3 linked regions of the Tamandua tetradactyla genome follow. The protein of the gene in region 3 interacts with the protein of the main gene of each other region in a biochemical or structural test. Links are inferred from orthologs where the notes say so. Each region holds a gene or a part of one and is shown on either strand. Other genes may lie near its edges.

Evidence for each region.
Region 1: the proteins of NF2 (region 3) and CD44 form a complex in vitro, tested with the Homo sapiens proteins (2 studies listed by BioGRID, with this or other methods). The link is inferred for Tamandua tetradactyla from reciprocal best matches to the Homo sapiens genes NF2 and CD44.
Region 2: the proteins of NF2 (region 3) and SPTBN1 form a complex in vitro, tested with the Homo sapiens proteins (2 studies listed by BioGRID and IntAct). The link is inferred for Tamandua tetradactyla from reciprocal best matches to the Homo sapiens genes NF2 and SPTBN1.

The regions. Positions count from the first base shown.
Region 1 is NC_135334.1:111,513,024-111,519,972, reverse strand, and holds the start of CD44 (CD44 antigen), read right to left. Parts: upstream 3,104-6,949; 5' UTR 2,921-3,103; coding exon 2,854-2,920; intron 1-2,853. UniProt on the Homo sapiens protein: Cell-surface receptor that plays a role in cell-cell interactions, cell adhesion and migration, helping them to sense and respond to changes in the tissue microenvironment.
Region 2 is NC_135343.1:26,797,723-26,805,803, reverse strand, and holds the start of SPTBN1 (spectrin beta chain, non-erythrocytic 1), read right to left. Parts: upstream 3,104-8,081; 5' UTR 2,940-3,103; intron 2,323-2,939; exon of another isoform or gene 2,228-2,322; intron 1-2,227. UniProt on the Homo sapiens protein: Fodrin, which seems to be involved in secretion, interacts with calmodulin in a calcium-dependent manner and is thus candidate for the calcium-dependent movement of the cytoskeleton at the membrane.
Region 3 is NC_135331.1:33,434,459-33,441,685, forward strand, and holds the start of NF2 (merlin), read right to left. Parts: upstream 3,060-7,227; 5' UTR 2,156-3,059; coding exon 2,042-2,155; intron 1-2,041. UniProt on the Homo sapiens protein: Probable regulator of the Hippo/SWH (Sav/Wts/Hpo) signaling pathway, a signaling pathway that plays a pivotal role in tumor suppression by restricting proliferation and promoting apoptosis.

The DNA.
Region 1 (6,949 bases), on a different chromosome or scaffold from region 3:
CTAAAGGATCCTCGGAGTCCCTATCTTTGAATCTATCACAGGGAGTCAGGAAATATTTCGTGAATGAAGGGGAGGGGATCCTTTGAGGGCAATTTGCAAGAAAATGGAAGCTTTTCCTACTGGCTGCTAACATCAAACATATTTGGCACTGGGCCTTTAAAGGAAATAGATGTCTGGGGAATAACTGAATTAAGTGATGCTAACCTCAGCAGAGATGAAGATTGGTTTCCTTATCTCTTCACCTGGGAAAACACAACGGAAGCCCTAAGGCCCAGCAAGAGGAGGGGTCTCTAATACTCAGCGGGAGCAGAAAGAGGCATGCAGCCCCCACATCCTAGGCTCGCAGATGCAACCTCCCTTCTCAACACCAGGGGCGCAATTCCCTAACAGTGACCTCGTGTGCTCACAGAAGGCTCAGGGCTCACCCTGCCTCGCCTCTCCCTGGAGCAATTTTCTTCTTCCTGCAAAGGATGCCTAGTTCAAGACACCTGCTCCCCAACTCCGAGGGTTTTGGTGTTCAATGTTGCTTAACTTATCTGGCCACTTCTCCACTTCTTGCTTTCCAGTTCCTCCTCAAATCTTGTCCCTTCCAAAGTTTCTTCATTGTCTCCCAAAGCCCGCCACTCCCCAGAATGGGGCAACAGCTCCGCCTTTCCTTCCCCACTCCTCTGCCTCCGCCTCACCTCCGCCGCCCAGCCCCAAGCCCTCTGTGAAATCATGTCTCCTTTCCAAGTCTCAGTTCCTTCCAAACAACTTTACAAGCACATGAAAGCCAGGCCGAGGCAGTTATTGCTACTGGCACTTCATTGGGTTTCCTCTAAATGACTTTGCCCAAAGGGACTGTGGAAACATGGGGCTCAAATGAGCCTGCTGCTCTCCAAGAGAAGCTTCAGGGTCAGGGTGCCAGGTATTTGGAGGTGGGACCCTTTAGACAAATCAGGGAGATGAGGTTGGAAGGCGTGAGGAGTCAGAATCCTCAGAGACAGAGCCCAAGACAGTCCAGCAGGTAACTTGTAAATAAACTTCTCTGGCGGCCACGGGGAATCCACCCACAGTACTTGTCTCTGAAGCCAGACCCAGGGCTCCTCCTGCCATCAAGTTCTCTCTTCTCTCCCATCCTAGGCATTCCTGTTTTTCAAGGGCCCCTGGAGCTCCAGTTCCCTTTGGAAGCCTCCTGAAGGCTTCTGGTCCACCCAAACCCTTTCTGCCCTGAAATCCTTTCTGAGTTTGTCCATTTCACACAATCCAACATATTCCAATGAAGTACAGGCTTTGAAACTCAGCAGACATGGGCTCAAATCCAGTCATACTCCTTGCTATGATACGGGCATACCACTTAACCTCTCTGAGCCTCCGTTTCCCTCCTATAAAGCAGGATAATAACAGGACCTTCTCACTGGGTCATTGTGAGGGTAAAATGAGATAAGAAATGTAAAGGCTTTACAGAGTGCCTGGGACAGCCGAAGCGTCCAATAAACGGTGGCTATTGCTATTGTTGCTATTATTATGATCTTTTGTTTTAGGAAATCTAAATCCTAAATTTAGATTTCCTAAATTTAGGAAATTTGGATTGCCATATCCTCAGTTTGAAATACCAGGGAGGGACTGTGTCTTTTACTTTGTTGGTATCTCCAGAATTAGGTTTAATAAGTTCTTGCTGAGTAGAATTAACCGTTGGCTGGGCTATCTTAATGACCCAGCTGGCACTGCTTAAAAGAAAAATTAATTTTGCTAGCGATAAGTAAATCGGCCATGTAATTATCTGCACATATAAAGATAAAAAAGGGGATGCTTGGAGTTCAGTTGGGCTAGAACACTTCACACGCACAGCCCCTCCCTTCCACTGTTCTCAACGGCTCAACCCCTATTTGCACCGGGCATGGCAGCCCCAGCTCCAGAGTCTCTGATTCCACTCTAGTGCCCAAGCTCCTCTCCGCGCTGCTGAGGCTCATCTTCTCCGTTTAGAATTCCCCAGACTAACTAGAAATAGGAGGCTGCAAGGGTTGAACAGGTCGCCCAGTGGTTCCATCTGTTACTCACATCCCCAGTCCGGAGTGGCACCTCCGGGAGCTCCGAGAGACCTCCTGCTAAGCCAGTTCAAGTTCCCAAAAAGCTCTCTAGCCCAGCAGTGACTGCAGCTGACCCTAAGAGCCTTAGAGCCCTGCCGCAGTGGGGAGCTCCAGGGATCTAGGTCTCCTTTCTAAAAAGCTCACTGTCACGGGCTCTCTCATACGCAAACGTGACCACCTTGCCAACAGCTCCTGCTCCCAGCCACAGCCCCTGACCTGCCTCTGTGTCAGTCTCTGCCGCTGCCTTACCTCTAAGCCAGCTCCTGTCCCCTGTCCCTGCCCCAGCCTCTGGCCTTGCTTTGCTAGGGCACACACAGCTCAGCCCGGGCTTCCAGCGCCCTTGGGCAAAGGAGCCTGTCAGTTGGGACACGCGGCTGCACACATCCAGCGCAGTTACTTTCTGCCATGTGCTTCGGCTCTAGCGACCTCACCCAGATCTCTGCGCGCCGGCAACCTGCCCAACAAACTTTTCTTCTCGCTTTCTCTTTGCTTTCAACAAAACGGTACTTCCCACCAACACACGCGCCTACTGCTTAGCGCACATCGCAGCCCGGCTTTCCTTAGCCAAATCCAGGTCGCTCGCCTCCGGATCCCCGAGGACCCACTTGGGCTGCGAGGCTGCGGGGCTGCGGGGCTGCGGGGCTGCGGGGCTGCGGGGCTGCGGGGCTCGGGGCTGCGGGGCTGCGGGGCTCGGGGCTGCGGGGCTGCGGGGCTGCGGGGCTGCGTGCGGCTCCCGCGCTCTCCTGGCGCCCCCTCCCGCTGCCCCGCTCGGGCGGGCACTCACCGATCTGCGCCAGGCTCAGCTGCATGAGGCAGAGCCCCCAGGCTGCGCGCCACCAGAACGTGGCCATGGGGTCCCAGCGAACCGAGAGAGCAAGCGACTGGAGCTGGAGGGTCCCGGTGCGCGGGGCGGGGGGCGGCGGAGGACGGGGCGAAGAGGGAGGACCGAACCTGTCAGAGGCTGGGGGTCCTGCTGGGCAATGAGGCCGCCTCGGAAGTTGGCTGCAGTTTTTATTCAGGAGCTGAAAGAGTGACCTAAGAGGGAGGGAGGGCGCGAGCGCAGGACACACCCAAGCGAGGGGTTGTGACTAAGCAGAGGTTTAAAGACGTACCAGCCCTCTTTGGCGCGGGCCTCTTCATCCCCGCCCGGTTTCCTGGGGAGACCGTAGCTCAGGGCTCCTGGGGGGCGCCGGGGGCCTCGGGGGGCTCGCAGTCCCCCAACCCACGCCCCCCAGGGCCGGCCGGCTCTCTTCTCCAGGCCAGCTGAGTGGCGGCTTAAGGAACGAAGATGACCGAGTCCTGAAACTTCGCCCCGTTAGGTTCGCGCTCTGGCCTCTCCTGTCCTCAGAGCTTCTCTCCGCATCTGTCTGGGAATGGTTCTTGCTGGATTTCTCAGGCAACGGGATACCCTGGAAGAGGAGCCAGATCAGAGATGAGGCCCTTGCACTGGACGGTGGTGCCCCCCTCCCAGGGGGAGGGAAGGAGAGGTTGTGACACTCCTGGGGTGGGAGGAGGGAGGGAGAGCACAGGCTTCTTCCCCTCAAATAGAAGCAAAGCCCACCTCACTTGGGTGGATTTTTTGCTCAAGGCAAGCTAGTGATGGCCAACCATGGGGCTGATGAATCGGCTCGGCTAAACCCACGAGTTTACCCTCCAGTCTACCCGTCCACCCACACACACTCATTCATCCTCCCGAGTATCCGTCCCCACCACCATCCATCCATCCACCCATCTTTTCTCCCGTCCTCTCCATGCCCCCACATCTGTTCGTGCCCCCATCCAGCCATCCTCCCCTCATACTTCCATCCACCCATCTTTTCCACATTTGCTCAACTCCTCACATATTTATTCACCATTTTTCTCCCATCCATTTATCCGACCACACACCCTTTCTTTTCTCCATCCGTTTGCCCAAATTCTCCCGCCATCCTCCCGTATGCCTTCTCGTCCATCATTCCATACATCATTTTCACATCTCTGCATAAACCTACAGCCATCCATCTACCATCCTCTTCTCCATCCGTGCACCCACAAATCCATTCATCTGTATATACTTTGTCCATCATCCACTTATCCATATTTCAATAGGGACCCTCTCGTCCATCCACACATCCTGTCCATTCTTCCTTGCTCCCCTTCACACTCCTATCTATCCATACAGGCATTAATCTGCTGACCCTCAACTATCCTATTCAGCAAATATCAACGAGAGGAGGTGATTGTCACATTCTTTAGTGGAGGCATTTTGAGTTTGAAAACTCATATCTCACTTCAGAATTATGTATATATCTATCATATACTATGATTTAATATTTGGAAATCAAAAGCAGTGCTTATTTTTAATGTGAACTGTTAAAAGTAAAGCTGAATGATTTGTCACCTGGTTCACACAGAAAGCTATTGTGGTTTTCAGTGGCTGGGGCATGGTCCTGAAGAGAACATGCAGGAATTTCTGAGGAAAACTAAGAATTTGTTATTTGTTGAAGGGAATGGGAAGGTTTGGAGAAAATGTACCCAGGCATCCACCTACCCATTCATTCACCAACCATATACTGAGTGCCCAAGGTTCTCGAGATATATAAGACCTGGCCCTGTGTTCAGGGGTCCCAACTCTGGCCAGCAATCCAACTCATGAAAGCTGTTCCCACTCAATGTGATATGTGCTGCAAAATGTGTGTGTAGAATGCCATCAACCCTAGAGAAGGGAGTCACAATCTCTGCAGGGGAACACACCAGGGAGGCTTCACGGTGGAGGTGATATTTAAGCCTGGGTCTCAAAGGAGGAGTAAGAATTCTTCAGATGAAATAGCAGGGGCAAAGCATCAAGAGGCAGTCCTCTGTAGTAATTAATAACAAGAATTTAGGAATCAGAATGCCTGGGTTCAAACTGCGGCCTGACTGCATCCTAATTCTGCGACCTTGAACTGGTCCTTTCTGCGCCTCAATTTCCTCATGTTTTAAAATGGGGTTCAAAATTGTGTCTGCTACACAGAAGTGTTGTGAAGATCAAATAAATGAAAAGTGCTCTATATAGAAAGCACTCTATGGGCGTTTGCTATTATTATTAATAACAAAATTGTGTGTGTTTATGGAAAAGTAAAAGAGCATGGCTTGTTCAGGGAGTGGAGTGCAGTTTGATGACTACCATGTTAGATCAGATGAAGAGGTTGGGAAGGGAACAAGAAGACAGTAGGTGAGAGAGGTGGGCGGGGCTGGGATGTAAGCTCTGCCAGGGAATTTGAACTTGATCCTGTAGGGAAGTAGGGAGTCAGTGTCAGTTCCCATGCTGGGGAGAGTCTGTTTGAATGCAGGTTTCAAGAAGGACCTTTCCAGGGAGGGTGATTTGGGCTGAAACTTGCTGTCTGGTCCTGCTTCCCAACCACTTGGTGGCTGCATTCTCCAAGTCAAAGGGTCACTTACGTGAAACGAAGGCAGTGTCCTTGGGCCCCCACCCAAAGAGAGGCCACTTCAAAAAGTGCTACCAGTAGCAGGAAAGCTTGGTCCTGCTGTTGTGACCAACGGGACACTTTTCTGAAACAATCAGCCGACCACCTGAGAAACCAGCCCCAGTGGCCTCCATGGGCAAGAGCTTGGACACCACGTGTTTCATCTTTCCTTATCTGATGGGGTGGGCGTTAGTTAGAAACTGTATTTCTCTCTGCTTCCATTCCAACGATAGCAGTTCCACTGTTTTTGTTTTATATACTACAGCACGGTGTGAGAGTTCATTTTGACAAAATGGAAAAAAAAAATGCAAAATCACTATTTTAGGTCATCTTGAAACCTGGTCCTTTCTGCAGAAAACAATCAGCAAATGTAAAAACAGGTATGAAAATGCTTTACAGACTATAAAGGGGCATGCAAATTCTAAGGATTGTAATTAGGATCGTTCTCCCAGGGGAGGATATTTTGCCTTCCTGCTTCCCGATAATTTAGTGAGGGACTGAGGTTGTTTGCCCCCATGCCACAAATGACTCATTTCAAATAATCAATCTGGTTACTTACTGAGTCAGGGCCAGCCTTTGGGACTTCCTGGATCACTTCTCTGAGGTCCCCTCTCATCCACTTTCCGCCCCAAACATCCCCTCCTGCTCACCCCTCAGCACCTCCCACTGGTTACACAAAGACCCTCCCTTGCTCTCCTTTGAGCCCTGTAAGAGTAAACTCATGAAAGTTATTCATTTTAGTTGCTCAGTATCTGTTTTGTGTTGTATCAGATACCTTTCTAAACCAAGCCATGGGATGTGGGAAACTGGGGAAAAAAGTTTGAATTGATGTGGGTTGACATGAATCATCTGGTTTAGAGAAAGTCCAGCATGATCAGCAGCCTTGGACCGAGAAAGCCGAGAGCGTGAGCTCTCACCCTTATCAGCCAAATGACCCTACTCAGACCCAACCTCTAGTGGTTTCGGTTATCTCACCTACAAAATGAGGTTAATAAAACCTTTCTCACAGTTTGTGATGTCTGCATCAATACCCTTTACTAAGGGCCTGCCTCATGGGGGAACTCAATGACCCCACAGGCTTTCAACCCCAGACAGGGACATGTCTGTCTTAGGCATCACTACATCCTCAGTTCCCAGTGTCTTGACTACGGTAAGAGCTCAAACAATAAGCGTTATGTAAATGCGTGAACAGCCATTGTTCTTTTCCCTCCTGCCATACTTTAGAAGGTTATTTCAGGAATCCCATGAGCTAATAGGTGGAAGCACTTAAATATCTCGACAATTTCTAAACAAATGCAACCAGTACTATCATCTCTGGGGTGGCTGGTTTAGGAAGGACCACACGGAGCAAGAGCACGGCTTATTTTAGCAGATTAGGGTTTTTTCCCCCTAAAATATTGGGGCATGATGATTTCTGACTTGTAATAAATCTTG
Region 2 (8,081 bases), on a different chromosome or scaffold from region 3:
CTCTCTCTGTCAGGAAACTCTGCCAATGCCAAGTCTCTGCTCAGGATGTGTCACAAGTAGATGGTGAGGTCTTCTCACTTGGCTTCTACAACGTCTCAGTTGTTACTAGTCTCACCCAACAGATATTCTTCAGAGAAAGCCTCAACACCAAGAGACAACCAAGTGACAGCAGCACTTTCACTGCTCCAGTGCTTCTCATTCTCAGATGAAGGTTTTTGTCAATCCAGAAACGACAGAGTTACAGAGAGCTTAAACAGAATTCTGCACCTGGTGTGTAAATCAGAACAGTTAGACCTCCTCTGACATCAACACAGGATGTTTCCTACAACACAATCAATCTGAAATGTCCTGGACAACCAGTAGAAACAATAGTGGCAAACAGCCTTGTGCAGCACGATTTTACACAACCAGCACAATAAGGAAACCCACATCCACAAATTACCATATTTTAATGGCCCTCTATTAGAGAAACTCAAAATAATGCACATAAACCACACAACTGACATTCAGTTCTGCTTTGCAGAGCCCCGTAAATCAAATACTGCTAACCTGGATTCATTACAGATTAAAAGAATAAAAGTAGACACACCTTTGGCTTTGAAACACTGACCTTCCCTTCCAGTTAGCCTACTGAAATATCCTTTTTCACCTACACATCTTAGATGAGTGTAGGGTGACATATGAAATGTATCCCACTTGCCATCCCACTCTGAACAAGTGAATTATAGGCATGGCATTTAGAAGAGAAATTCACTGTGTGTCAACAAAGATAAGAACACCGAGAACCATCTCCTTCTGACCAGATACCAGACCTTTGTGGTCTGCCCTTCTCAACCCGCCTGCCCCAGCTGCATTCTCGTGCTCTGGTACCTGAAAAAATATGCATACAAAAATACACAGAATCAAACATAAATACAGTTAACATGATAATTTTGTTAGTCATGCCTGGAGACTTAACTTGGCTATCTACATCAGTAGAACTCTGAATACCACTTCTCATTAATCACTTACATATCATTAATCCTTTATTAATCCTTGATAAAGAATCCAAATACGTAATTATACTTGATTTACAAGAAAAGCAAATGATCAAAACAAAGCATCTATAGTTAAAAGGAATCATTTATTACCCATCAAAATAATGTATATATTTAAAAGGGATCTATATATCCCTTCTAAAACAACCTACTTAATACTAACATTTTTATAAATGTATCAGATGCATAAGAATTAAAATATTTCAATCATTTAATTTTTAAAAAGTGGTTTTCTATAGGAAAAACTCATATTCTGAGTACTGGCCAAAGTCAGACGAGGTACTGTAATGTCATAGCTGTGAAGGTCCAATTAATAAATATCAACTTTTCAGGTACAAAAAAATTGATGCATAGCTGGGGTGTGGGTACAGATTACTGGATATCCACTGAGAGGCTGCGACTTCCCAGGCTGACTGCACCACTGCCTCCGCTCGCCACTCGGCCCCGTCCTTCCTGCAGCCCCTCCCTACGGCTCTGGTCCTGGCTCCGGGTTCGGATTCGGACCCGCAGGCCCGCCGGATCTGCCTGTATTAGCGCAGAGGGGCTCCCCCTGGTCGAGCTCAGCCCAACAGGCGGGGTGGAGGCGTCGCCTCGGTGGGGAAGACTCTCTACCCTCTCACACCTAGGTGACCTGGTCCTTCTGTGGCGTCATGTCAGCTGAAGCTGCAAGCCAAGGTGGATGCCGCTCCGGGCCCCAGACAAGGGCAGCCCGGGCCTGGGTGGGGCCGGGCGCGGGCCGCAGGCGCCCAGTGGCGTGCCAAGCCCGGCAGCGAGAACCAGGGAAGGCTGCGATACTGCTGCATTGTGCTGCATCACGGCGAGGGCACCGGGAGCCATCCATCTTGCCAAAAATGCACATCCCTCCTCCCAAAGAAATCTCATCGAATCCATTTTTCTTTTCCGCCGAAACACACCACACTCGCCCTCTTCCTCACTTACGGTCTGGCGTGGCTTTTGATTGGGAAATAATGGACATGGTTTGGGTATTGATTCCTTCCCCACCACCCCCATCTGATGGCAGGCACTTGGCACCTTTCCCTTTCCTATCATAAAGAAAAAAAAATACAAAAAAACAAAGGGAAGGCATACTCCAAAAAGAGGGTTGCAGGTATTGGATGGGGAATGATGAGACGGGCTTCCAGTCCACCACCCCAAAACAGACCCAGAGGGACCCCCGTAGCGGTACAAACCTGTTGAGGGGCCCTGTGTCCGGAGCCGAAAGGCGGACGCAGGGGCGGCTCCGCGCCCGAAGGCAGCTCCCGCCCAGCCCTAGGAGAGTGGGAACGGCAGGGAGGGTGGGGGACCGGGGGGGGGGGCGGGGAGGGATCCGCCGGTCGCCGCCTCCGGCTCAGCTGCAGCGCGGTGCAGCCCGGACCACGCCTGGCCGCATCCCCAGTCCTGCTACGCTCAGCGCCCGGCCCTGTCACAGCCGCCCCCGCTCGCCACCCGCCGGGGTTGCGGGGAGGGCACCCGAAAATATAACCTCGCGGCTGCCCACTCCCCACCCACGCCCTCTCCAGAGACCGCTGCGTCCGATTGCAGGGAGGAGGCGGCGGAGACAGGGAGGAGGAATCGGCACTGCTGCACCCGGGGATGGGGCCGAGCAGCCGCGCTGAGCACGGTGCATCTGGAGCTGCCTCTGCGGAGCTCGCCGCCCCACGCCCCGAAAAACCCGAGTACTAATAAGCATCTGAGCCCCAGGCTCCCCGCGCCGCCTCCGCCCGGGTCCACAGCCTTCCTGCCCCCACCCCGCACCCCCGGGAGCAGGGCAGCGGCGGGACAGCAGCGTCTCCCCGGTCCTGGGCCCGCGCCCTTCCTCCCGCCCACCGCCGCCGCCGCGGAGCCCGCCCGGGACGCAGCCCCAGTGAGTTGGCATCTTCCAGCCTCAACCCCCCTACCTACCTCCCGAGGGTGGGCTGGGGGGCGCCGGGGTCCCGTCCTCCTCCGGCTCCTCGGCGGCCGGGCGGGTGGGCCGGGAGGCGACTACGCGGGGCTGTCCGCGGCGGGGGCCGGGGCTCACAGGACGGGACCGGTGGGCGCTACTGCGCGGGGCTGCGCGCTCGCTCCGGGAGGAGAGGCGGCGGAGGGAGGGACTGGAGGAATCCGCAGCCTGCACGGCAACAGCTGCACTGATTCCGGGGGCTGGGCGGGAGCGCGGGGGGAGGGCGGGGAGAGGGCGGGGAGGAGGGAAGGGAGGGGGGAGAGCAGGCAGGCCCGGAGGGGGGCGAGGGGCGGAGAGAGGGAGAGGCGCGGGCGCCGGGCGCGCGCGCGCACACACACACACACACACACACACACGCACGCACGCACGCGTACACGAGTGTCTCCGGCACAGCCTCCACTCAGCCTCCACCCTGGCTTCCTCCCTCTCGTCTACCCCGAGCCCCGAAGACGCCTGCTTGAGCTCCTGCTCCGCTCCGGAGCCGAGCCTCGGGCGCGTCCACGCTCTCCCAAGCCTGGGCTCTTCCGCGGCCGCGGACCGACCTCGCCCCCTGCCGCGGGGACCGGCCAGGAGTGGCCTTGGCGCGGTGGGCACCGCCGCTGCCGCTACCCGGGCAAAGGGACAATGGGAGCTTTGTTCTCACAGCCGGCGAGGGCCAATTTCACGTTTAATTTCAGGCTAATTCGATTATCGCCGGGGAAAGGGGCAGCTTAATTTTCTACGTGACTTGGGCAGCCTCTTTTCGCCCTTGATGTTGTCGCGTTTGTCGTGTGTTTAGGGAGGCTTTAGTGTCCTCTGGTTGGTTAGTCCTGGATCTGGGTGGTGATGCCTTGTAGTTTCCGCCCAGCCTGGAGAAGGGAGATGGGGAAACCTGTGGCGAAGGGGGAAATGGGGTTTGTTCCTCTACCAAGTAGAGACCCTTCTTCGTGAATGCTTTTTCACCCTTGCCGGCAGGGTAGCTGGGAACTGACCCTATTCAAAAAGCTCATCCTTCTCCTGCTTCTCCCCCCAAACGCAAAAGCTGAGCTTTAACCTGAGGCCGGTCCCCTTCCGGAGTCACTCCTCGGGACTGGTGGCGCCCTGGCTGCAGGAGACGCCCCAGGGGTGGCTTGGGGGTTGAATTCGCCCAACCCCCATTCCCTGAGACAGACATCCGACGTTTGGGTCAAGTGCAGGTCCTCTTTACAGCCAGCGGACCCACCCCGTCAGCCCCCCAGGCTGTGTATAAACCTTGGAGCCGCAGCCACTGGGGAGGGAAGGTGGTGTCATCACAGAAGCGCTCTTTAGAAAACAGCCTCACGGACACCGGTTTTCTCCCTGCTCTGTGACGGCCTACGCAGTGCTGTGGCCCCTTCAGAGCACTTTCCTTGGTTGAAAAAGCTCCAGACCTTTCCCCCCTAAAGATCCACCCTCAAAAACAGACTTTTTACAATTAAAAAAAAATAAGTTTAAAAAAACAAAACAGGCTTTTGACTCAGTTTGGATCAGGCTTATGTCTCCAATCAATAAAGTCGAGACCTGATGGTTTTATATTTCTAAGTGTATTTTAAAATGAATTATTTGTGAATAAGATGAAATGAAATTGTCCCAACAAACTAAAGATAGTTCTTCCTTTCAGGCCTTCATCATGGCATGAATGTTTGTACAAAGGTTGACTTTTGATATATATGAAAGAGATCGAGGAAGGCAGATACTTTAACATTTTTCTCAGAAGGTTGATCAACACAAACAGAAGGGGAACTCCCCGACGACAGGAGAGCTTTTCACCTTGCACAGAGCAGGCATTTAGGAATCAAAGAGAATCAAGATGTAAGCTACCCTCAAGAGGAAATACCAGGAATCCACTAGGGATGAAAGTTGTTTCCCTTTCACTTATTTAAGTCACAGCCTCTAGCACCTCCCCACCCACAATGTTAATAAAATACCAAAGAAAACAATGGCAACACTGGGAAATGCTTCAGCTTAAATTCTTCCAATATTATTCTGAGTTGATGACTTTTAAGTGTTTTCCTTTACCACAGAGAGTACTTGAATAAATCGTCATTTGATGGATGAATCACCTCCCTACCCCATTCTACTCCCACTTAAGTTTCTTAATTTCCTTCACAAGAGAGAGGGCACACACGAACTTAACAAGTTACTCTAATATTTCAAAAAAAGTGAAAAGCAAGTATTCAGACTTCACTATAAATACCTGCCTCACAATTTTGAATTTTACCTTTGGTGGAAAAAAATGTATTACCCATTGACCAAAAAGAAATATAGGCAAAGAAAAGACGGTTCAAATTTGGAGAGATTGTTCAAGAAGACATCTCCGTGGAAGGCAGGAATCTAGAAAGAGATTAAAGACCTTAGGCAGTAATGATGATAACTCCAAATGATTATTCCCAACTATCTCAGAAGTAGCTTTGCTGAGGGGTTTATCCTCACATTAGAATCAAAATTCATTTAGAGGAAGCTAGGATTCATCATTGTTATATCTATAACAACCATGGAAATAACACTTTATTAAAAGTTTTTGCAGATATAAGTTGTCATTTTAACTTTTCTTTCAAAGTATAAATGAAAATCTTGTCAATATATATATCAGTACACTCTAGGATATGATGCGATAACAAACAATTCCCAAATCCCAGTTGCTTAACACAAAGAAAGTTAATTTATTGCTTATGCAAAGTCAATCATGGTTTCAAGCAACTATCTGGAGAAACTGTCCTCTCCACGTGTCAGCTCAGCATTCTAGAACACTTTAATAGTATGGTATGTCCATGTCTTGGCATGCTTCCCCAATCTCCATTGTAAGAGAAAAGTGTGATGAAGGGTTAAGCTCCAGCAATGAAATGCTTCTACACAAAAATGACACGTGGTCACTTCCATCCACATTTAATTTGAAAAATCAATTTACATGGCTGTACATTGCTTTAAAGCACCAGAAATGTACAACCCTCCTTGTGCCTAGAAAGGGGAAATGAGATATTGGAGAATAGCAGTATTGGCAGCTACATGTTTTATTTAGAGAAAAGGGAATGGTAATTTCCTTATTTATATTATATTAACCCAATTAAAACTTGTCTTCTGTTGTGCCTGTAGCCTAAAATTTTACAATCAGGACAAAATTTGAAAATTTGAATAAATTTTCTTAATTTTTACATACTTTCTAAAATTGACATCTTTTTAACACAGCTAGTCTGGAAAGTTTCCTTATATCAGAAATATTTCATTTGGATTTCCACACATTAATTTTATACTAGGACTATCTAAAGACTGATATGTTTAAACCATCATTACTCATGAATGAGTATTTTTGAGCACTAACAACACATTTGCTGTTTTATAAAACAATTCATTCTCTCACTTATTCAACAAATATGAATTAATAGCCTTATACTATTCTAGGCTCTGAAATAGAGTAATGGGCAAAACAGTGAAAGCTAACTACCTTCATGGATCCTTCGTTCTAGTATGGGGTTCCATCAATCCATAAATAAGTAGACTATGCGTATAATGACAAATCTGAATATAATGTGACACAAATATTTAGAAATAAATACTCATAAAATAATCAGGATAATTAGTCTCAGCGTTCTAATGCTAAGTAGCAACTATAATATGCTCTCCAGTTTACAGAGTTTTAGCAAATATCATCGTATTTTGCTCTTTTATCAGATATCAGCCCCATTTTAGAGATGAGAAAACTGAGGCACTGGTGGTCACATTCGTTGCCCAAGTTGACACAGCCAATCATTAGGCCAGAGGCACCTGCTTAGAAGGTAGCGTGTCAGGGCATTGTGTGCTTGATCATTGCATATTAATTATTTTAAAGTAATTCTGGATTTAGACCTCTAGAATAGGAGAGGAGAAACTTTCTTAACTCTATTCCAAAACCTCAGTGTAGCAAGCACATTGGCTGATGTCCATGGTACACTAACCCCACTCAGCAAGTAGGTTAGATGCTGGTACACCCATGCATTTCTGTTTCCACCCATTGAGCTATATATTTACTAAGTCAGTTGAGTTTGTTCCCAAATTTGTTTATGCCAGTCATACTTAGAACTAAGTATTACATAAACTAATGAGATATGAGTGTCAGAGTTCTTTCAGAAAAAACTAAGTTGTATACTTTTGAAATATCTGATTAAAGGCAAAAAATACTGCCATTAGATTATGTGTGAGGAAGATAGTAAAAAATTGGGGGAGAATGGAAAGTACAAAAGTTTTGAAATATTGAACAGTCAGATTGCTTTGCAAATATCTCTAAGTTCTTATTCAACTTTAAAGAAAACAGAACTGTATATCATATAGCCATGGCTTATGTGAAAAGGAGGTGGCCTTTCACTCAGTAAACATAATCAGAGAAACTCTTTGTTAATCAACAGATTAGCAGATGAATGTACATTTATAATTTTCAAGTCCAAATAAAATGTTGAAGTATGTAATTTTGCAGATATAAATCTATCATTTTATTTTTCTTTCAAAATGTAATCCAAGGGTTTGACGGTGTATTCTTAGATATAACACTGAAAGCATGAGCAAAAATAACAAGATAAATAAATTGGACTTCATCAAAATTAAAACCTCTTGTACATCAAGGAACAATAGCAAGAAAGTGAAAATGCAACCTACAGAATGGGAGAAAATATTTGCAAACATATCTATATGATAAGAGTCTAGCATACAGAATAGGTAAGGCACTCTTACAACTCAACAACAAAAAGAACAAACAACCCGATTAAAAAATGGACAAAGGATTTAGAAGAGGACTAGCCAACAAGCATATGAAAATTTATTCAAAGTCGTTAGTCAAAACTGTAACAAGATACCACTTCATGATCAACTAAGATGGCAAGAAAAAAAAAGAAAGAAAGAAAATAACAAGTGTTGGTGAAGATGAAAAGAAACTGGAACCCTTATGCAGGTGCTGGGGAGAATGTAAAATGGTGCACCCACTGTGGTAAACAGTTGAATAGTCCTTCAAAATGCTAACCATAGAGCTATCATGTGACCCAGCAATTCCACTCTTAGAACGCACCCAAGAGAACTGAAAGCATATGTCCACACAAAAACTTGTACACGAATGTTCATGGCAACACTATTAATAGCCA
Region 3 (7,227 bases):
ATACCCAGTCATAAAGCTACACTAATTACTGGTTGATGTGTCTATTATTTTCACCAATACCCTGAGAAATAAACTGCTATACAAACTAACCTAATCGAACTATGGCTCCTTTGAGGGAATAGCTTCTCAGATCAGTATGTGATATTTATTCAGATCACAGAAGGGCTCCTTCAGGGGTCCAATTCCCCTATTGTTTCCCAAAAACTACCCAGCAAACAACCTAGGCTGAATTTTCATGAAATCCATGAATATTTTCCACATACACCACTGTCTCTGAGAGCACCCTTAGGCACAAACTTCTCAATGCTCTGTAGCAAACGATGTCAGTCCTTTGGGAAGAGATTAGGAAACATCTGTTTTATGACCTGCTTTTCCTACCAAGACAAAAGATTCTGAACTAGGGCTCTGGAACTGGGTTTGGGGATACTAGCAAGCTCTCTTAGTGACATCTTGCACTGGGGACATCTTGCACTGGGCTTGCGTCTCCTGGCATGGAACCACCATCTCATGTGCTAGAGCTACCACCTCTAGACCACATTCACCCAGGACTTAGCCACAGCAACAGGTGGCTGGGGACAGGATTTGAAACACTGAAGTCCTGCTTCTCCCGTGAAGAAAACCCTCCAAATACGAGCTGGAGGGAGAGGGAGCCCTGTGGTCTTGACTGTACCAGTCTTGGGATTTATCAGTCCCACCTTGCTGAGCTGGTTGTGGGGAGGGAGGGATCTGTCTTGGTTCAAATACCACAGACGCCTGTCTTTCTTACTGACTTTGAGTAGATTTTCTTTCTTTGTTACTCACCCTTAGGACCATTTCCAAAAGCTAAAAATAATTGTTAAAATAATAATAATCTAAAAAATAATTGTTTTTAGAGTGGGCAACAGTGGTTCAGTGGCAGAGTTTTCACCTGCCATGCCGGAGGCCCAGGTTTGATTTCCGGAGCCTGCCCATGCCAAAATAAATAAATAATTGTTTTTGTTGTTGTTGTCCTTTTTTTTTTTCTTTTTGCATAAGCAGGCTCAAGGAATTGAAGCCCAATCTCCAGCATGGCAGGTGAGAACCCCAGTGGGTCTGTGGAGCCCATCCCATTGTCATACTGGAAGTCAATTCTGTCTAAGACTGATTTTGCACTTTAACAGTAGGCTTAAAGAGTTCAGTAGTTGTAACAGAGAACTCCATGGCCTACAAAGTCGAAAATATTTACTACGTGGCCCTTTACAGAAAAAAAAGTTTCCAATCCCTGACTTAGGTCAAGGCTGCTGATGCTGTGGTCTGTAGACCACACTCTGAGTAACAAAAACTTAATTACCTGAAAACAGTACTGTGCTGACTAAAAGCTTGGTTCAAAGTCCCACTCTGCCATTTACTAGATATATAGTTTGGGGGGGGGTAATGATAATAATAATTGTACCTACCTCCTTGTGTTGTGAAGATCAAATTTGTGCATGACTAACACTTAGAAAGTATTCAACAACGATAACTATTATCATCCTGGAGTAATAGTGAAAAGTAAATAGAAGCCACCATCCTTTCTGTCAAAGAATCTTTTCCTGAAAATTTAAACTTTGAAAACAGGAAGCAAGGACAGGCTTTCCAATAGACAAGATGCAACTTTCAATACTTGGGGTGCTTAATAATATTACCTAATGAAGTTAAAAACTCCATTACCTAATGAAGTTAAAAACTCAGAGCTTAAGCTCGAAACTGAGAGCGATAATTCCCTGCCACAGATGCTTCCAGCCTCTTCCAATAGCAATGAATGAAAACAACCTCCAGAAAGAAAGTTCTCCCAAACCCTCAAAGCCCCTGGAAGAGAAAACACCTTTAACACGAGGATTTAAGCCCAGACAGACCCTTCTGGTTCTAACCCTCTCTACCTACGATCAGCAGGTGATGTAAGCAGAATCCCTCACACTTCCACCTGGACTGTCACCGTGGCAGCGGCGCCTCGGTCGGTGCCCAACCCCGCGCCGGGGCTTGGTGGAGAGGGGTTTCGGCCCAGCTTCCCCTCACCGCTGCCAGTCGGGGCTGCGGGCGTTACCTCGCAGTTGAATTCCATCTCGGCGTCCATGGTGACGATCCGCACGGTGAACGTCTTGGGTTGCTTCCTCTTGAGCGAACTGAAGCTCATGCGGGAAGCGATGGCCCCGGCCATGGCGCGGGAGTCGGGTCCGGGCCCCCTGCCACCACCACCCCCGCCCCGAAGCCTGCGCTCTGGATCTCTTAGCCCCCCTGGAGGAGCCGCACAGGCCTCAGGGCCACCATGGTGGCCGGCCGGCCGGCCCGGGAGCTGTCTTTGCGGCGCGGGCGTCTAGCGGCCCGCATGGGCCGCGAAGACCCTGAAACCCGGAGCCGAAAGGGGCGTCGGGGGGCGGGTCCTGCCCGCCGCGTGTAGAGGACGCGAGCGAGTACTAACGGGGCGGGCGCAGCCCGGCGCTCGGGAACGCCCGGGATGCCCGGGACCCCCGGGTCCTCCGGGAATGGGGCCCTCCCCGACGGCGGCGGCCCAGACCCCGCGCGCCTCTCAGCGGCCGACCGGAGTGGCAGGGCCGAGCTGCAGCCGGGAGCGACGCGCTCGCGCGCGCGGGCCTGTCACCGTTCCCGCTCCGCGCGCCCCCGAGAAGCGTCCCCTCACCCGAGTCCCCAGCCCGCTCCCGCCCCGCCCTCAGGCCCCTCTCTCAGCGCAACCGAACCCGGCGGTTGCTGGGCCACCCTGCGGAGCCCGGCGACTGTGCGGTTGGTTGAAAACTCCAAGGGAGGCGGGGCTTTCCAGCTCCGTCCCGCCTCCTTCAGAGCGGCTCCATCAATTAGAAGTTGCGCCCTAACTGGAGATGCAGAGCTTGGACTCGGCCCTGAGTGGCTGGAGCAGCAGCCACTCCGAACACTTTTGTTCTTAGGCTCACGCCTTCTCTAGCAAGATTGGTTGAGGCGTCAGCTCCCGACGCGCCTTTCTTGCGTCCCCACGCACGGGCTGGCTCCAGCGAGGGAGCCAGGTCCTCCCCTGGTCCTCTGAGGCACTGTTTTCTGGACGCAGCACGCGCGAGCGTCGCGCCGTAGGAAAGTGCGTTTCGGACACGCGTTGAATATTCCTGTTTGGCCCTTAATTACATATAGTGACCTCACGAACACTTAGAACGCTTGTGGAGTCTTCTTAGGTTGTCGGCACTATCCAGCCAGATCTCTCTGCTTCGCTTTAGGAGAGATAATATTATCGAAGGGGGATAATAATGTGCCTACCTCGCAATGTTAAGCGAGTTAACATATAAAGTTTTAGAACGGTGTCTGACAAACAATAGGTTGACTGCTGTGATACTGCTGTTTTTGAAGGTCCAATACTGTCGTAAAATTGAAAGCATTTCTCATTTTGTACTTTATGTGATTTGCATCTTCGAACTATACACGTGTATTAATTATTGTTTAGTATTATAAGAGTTATAACGGGTGTGAGAGGCAATTACACCTTTCTGTATTAAATTAATAAATTATATTTTCCTATTTTACAATAATCATTACTATCCAAATAGAAGCAATGTTATGCACACCGTAAGTGCTCCTTAAATGTTAATAATCATTAGCATCGCTCTCGCCCTACAGATGAAGAAATTGAGAGGCTCGGTAGAAGACTGTGAACTTACTGGAATAGGGAGAGGCAAAGCTGGGATTTGAACCTAGGTCTCGCAGATCAAGAGCCTGCTGGTGTCACGACCATGTTTCCCTGGTTGTGACTTCCAAATTGCTCCCTGTTGCAGCCACGAAACGTGAATTACACTTCTGGAGCACTCTCCAGACACTGTTGCTGTAAGTGGATAATGGATAAATCTAGCTGTTCCCGGCAAGCCCCTGCTGTGCCATGAAACACCAGCCCTGCCTCAGCAATCATTTACTGGCACACCAAGAGAGATTTCATCTGGGGAACTTAACTTTATGTCCTGGATGCAGCTAGCAAATTGTCTCCACCGAACTGATTTTTCTAGGCAATACTGGCTTGGCGTGGGAGTGTCTTCATTTTCATTGCTTCAGTTCTTCCCTGCGGGTGAAAGAACAGGACTCGATTCTCCTGTGGCCTCCCCACTGGGACAGCAAATCAGAGCTTTAACCCAGGGCCAAGACTACTGACAGAAAATAAGTGACTCTGGGAGCTAATGGAGGAGTAAAGGAAGGAGGTGGATTCAACAACAGGGACTAAAAAATAACGTAGGTGGCCAGTAATAGCTCCTATTTGTGGAAGGCCTACTAGGTGCTAGGCACTGTGTGTTAGAGGTAAAAGCTTGAATTCAACCTTCCGGGAGATCATCCAGGTATACCTATGGGTCTGAATCTCAGAAGGGAGGGGCCAGGAATAAAATTAGATGGAATATTATATAGGCATTGAATTGCCATTCACAAAGAATAAGCAGATGATGATAATACCCACCAGATAAGGGTTTGAGGAGGGTACAGTGAAATAAGGTACAGCATCTTAAGAAAGAACCAGTACATAGACACCAGTTAATAAATATCTACTGAGTGAATAAATGCAGGACATGAGGAAATGCTTATGTTCTCAATGATGAGAGCCCAATCAATAGCTACCATACATGAAGAGCTTACAATATAAGGCACCCTGCAAAGTGCTTTGCATACTTTGTTTCTTTTCATCTTTACCAAAACTCCTTTTGGTAGTTATTTTATCCCTGATTTATCCGGGAAGAAACTGTTATGGCTAAAATGAGGTAATTATCATCTCTACCATGATCATAATTGATAGAGCTGCCTCTTCCACCCAGACGGCTTTAAATCCAGATTTAAGCCTGATTTACATCGAATTCAGCCATTTCTTCCAGAAGACCAGTGGTTCTCAAAACAGCACTGTCAGCTTTACCTGGGAACTAATTAGAAAAGCAAATTATCAGGCCCCACCCCAGAAGAACTGAATCAAAAACTCTGGGGTTGGGACCCAGGGGCCTTGTTCTAACAAACCCTCCAGGGGATTCTCATGCATGCCAAAGTGTGTGTGTGTGTGTGTGTGTGTGTGTGTGTGTGTGTTGTGGGGGAGGGGGAGTGATTCTCAGTCCTATAACCCCAAGGAACTGAATTTTGCCAATAACCTGAGTAAGCTTGTGTCATGGTCAGGTTCATGTGTCAACTTGGCGAAGTGGTGGTACCTGTTTGTCTGGTTGGGCAAGTGCTGACTTGTCTGTTGCAATGAGGACATTTCATAGAATTAGATCATGATCATGTCAACTGCATCCACAGCTGATTCCATTTGTAATCAGCCAAAGGGGAGTGTCTTCTGTAATGAGTGATGCCCAATCTAATCACTGGAAGCCTTTTAAGGAGGATTGAGAAGAATCCTTCCTGCTTTGGCTGGTGAGGCTCTCCTGTGGAGTTCATCCAGACCCTCCATTGGAATCGTCGGCTTCACAGCCTGCCCTGTGGATTTTGGACTCTGCATTCCCGCGGTCACATAAGACACTTTTATAAATTTTATATTTGTGAGTGTTCCCTGTTGAGTCTGTTTCTTTAGAGAACCCTAACTAATACATCTTGGAAGAAAGCTTTCTTCTGAGCTCCAAAGAATACTGCAGTTCTCATCCGAGAGGGATTTTGCCCCCAGGGTACATGTGGCAATGTCTGAAGGTTTTTGGTTGTCACAGCTAGAGGATGCTCCTGGCCTCAGGATGGTATTAAGGATCCTGCAACTCACAGGACAGCTTCCATGACAATGAATTATTCAACCCAAAATATCAATAGTGCCAAAATAAAGGGACCCTGCCCTAGAGCAGTGATTCTTTGCTCTTTTTTAATCAAAAACATTCTACCGAGAATCTGATGAAATCAGTGGACCTTCTCAAAGGAATGCACACATGCACAAAATTTTGCATATGCTTTCCAGAAGTTCATGGAAAGTTTCCTCCAAAGCACATCTATAGAGCCCAGATTAAGTCAATTTGTCCTAGATGCTACATGTGAACTCTAGACTGTGGCCATTCTGCCTAAATCTGGACTGCTGCATTGTCATTGTAGCTATTTGCAGAATTACTTTTCCTACACATTGGCACGAAGGTAGTGTCCTGCAGAGAAGCTGTAATAAGAACTAGCCCCAAGGAATTCTGACAAAGGTTCTGACAGCATCCTTTCTATAAAGACCCACCAGAGAAATCTCTTATGCTGCAGCATTTGTATTTTTCATGGGCAACTGGTTTGCTTGTTTTGTTCTTGTTTTTAGTAACTTTTATTCTGTTTTTCTTTATTTTACAAGTAATTCACATGCTTCATAAAAAGGAAATTAGAACCCACAGATAAGCAGTATGGTAGGCAGAATTGTAAGATAACCTCCAGTGACCCACTCCCTTGAATAATGCTCCCCTTGAGGGTGGGCAAGACTTGTGGTATGTGTGATATTCACCAGTGATTTTGTACTTTGCATGGTGAGAGGGATTTTTTGCAGATATAAAGTCCCCAATCAGATGAGTGACTCAGAAAGAGATTATCCTGACTGGGACTGCCACAGAGTTGTACACTTAAAAATGGTTAAAATGGAAAATTGGGTGATACATATATCCACAATAAAACTTTTTAAAAGGAGGTCTAATACCAGTGAGGAGCTGAATCCCCAGGACAGTCCCAGAACAGGACCCCACAGCATCCTCTTCCTCCTCTGACCCCATCCTGGACTTCACCATCTCCCTGGATGTGGCCAAAGACAGAACACATCAGAAATACCGCTGCAAACAGGCCCCGCAGATGTACTGGAGCAAGAAAAATGAACTTTTCAGCAATCTCTGAGCACCTCTGCACTAGCCATCAAGGAAAGCTGGAAGGGCTGAGCCAGCCCCCACCCCAACATCTCTTCCTATTCCTCCTCCCCACCCACCCCTGAATCGATGTACCAGTCAGCACCAACATTGCCCTTCTCGGCAAATCTGATTTTTCTAGAGAACAAAAATTCTTCCCATACATTAGGGAAGGTGACTTTTTCTGTCCTGCCCCAATCAAAAAAGCAGACTCTGTCCCTTACTCCTCACTTGAGGGCTTCACCCTCCATGTGTCACCTTGACCCCCTACCTGGGACATCACTGGGACTTGCACCAAGGAAGGATTGTGGGACCCACCCTTGTGATGGCTGGGTCCAGGGCTGATCAAGGACCACTGACTGTAGCAGCCATGGCTCTGGGTGGACAGGCCATCATCCTCAGAGCTGGGGCTCTGGCATTTATTTTTATTCATTTGATTTAAAAAAAAAAA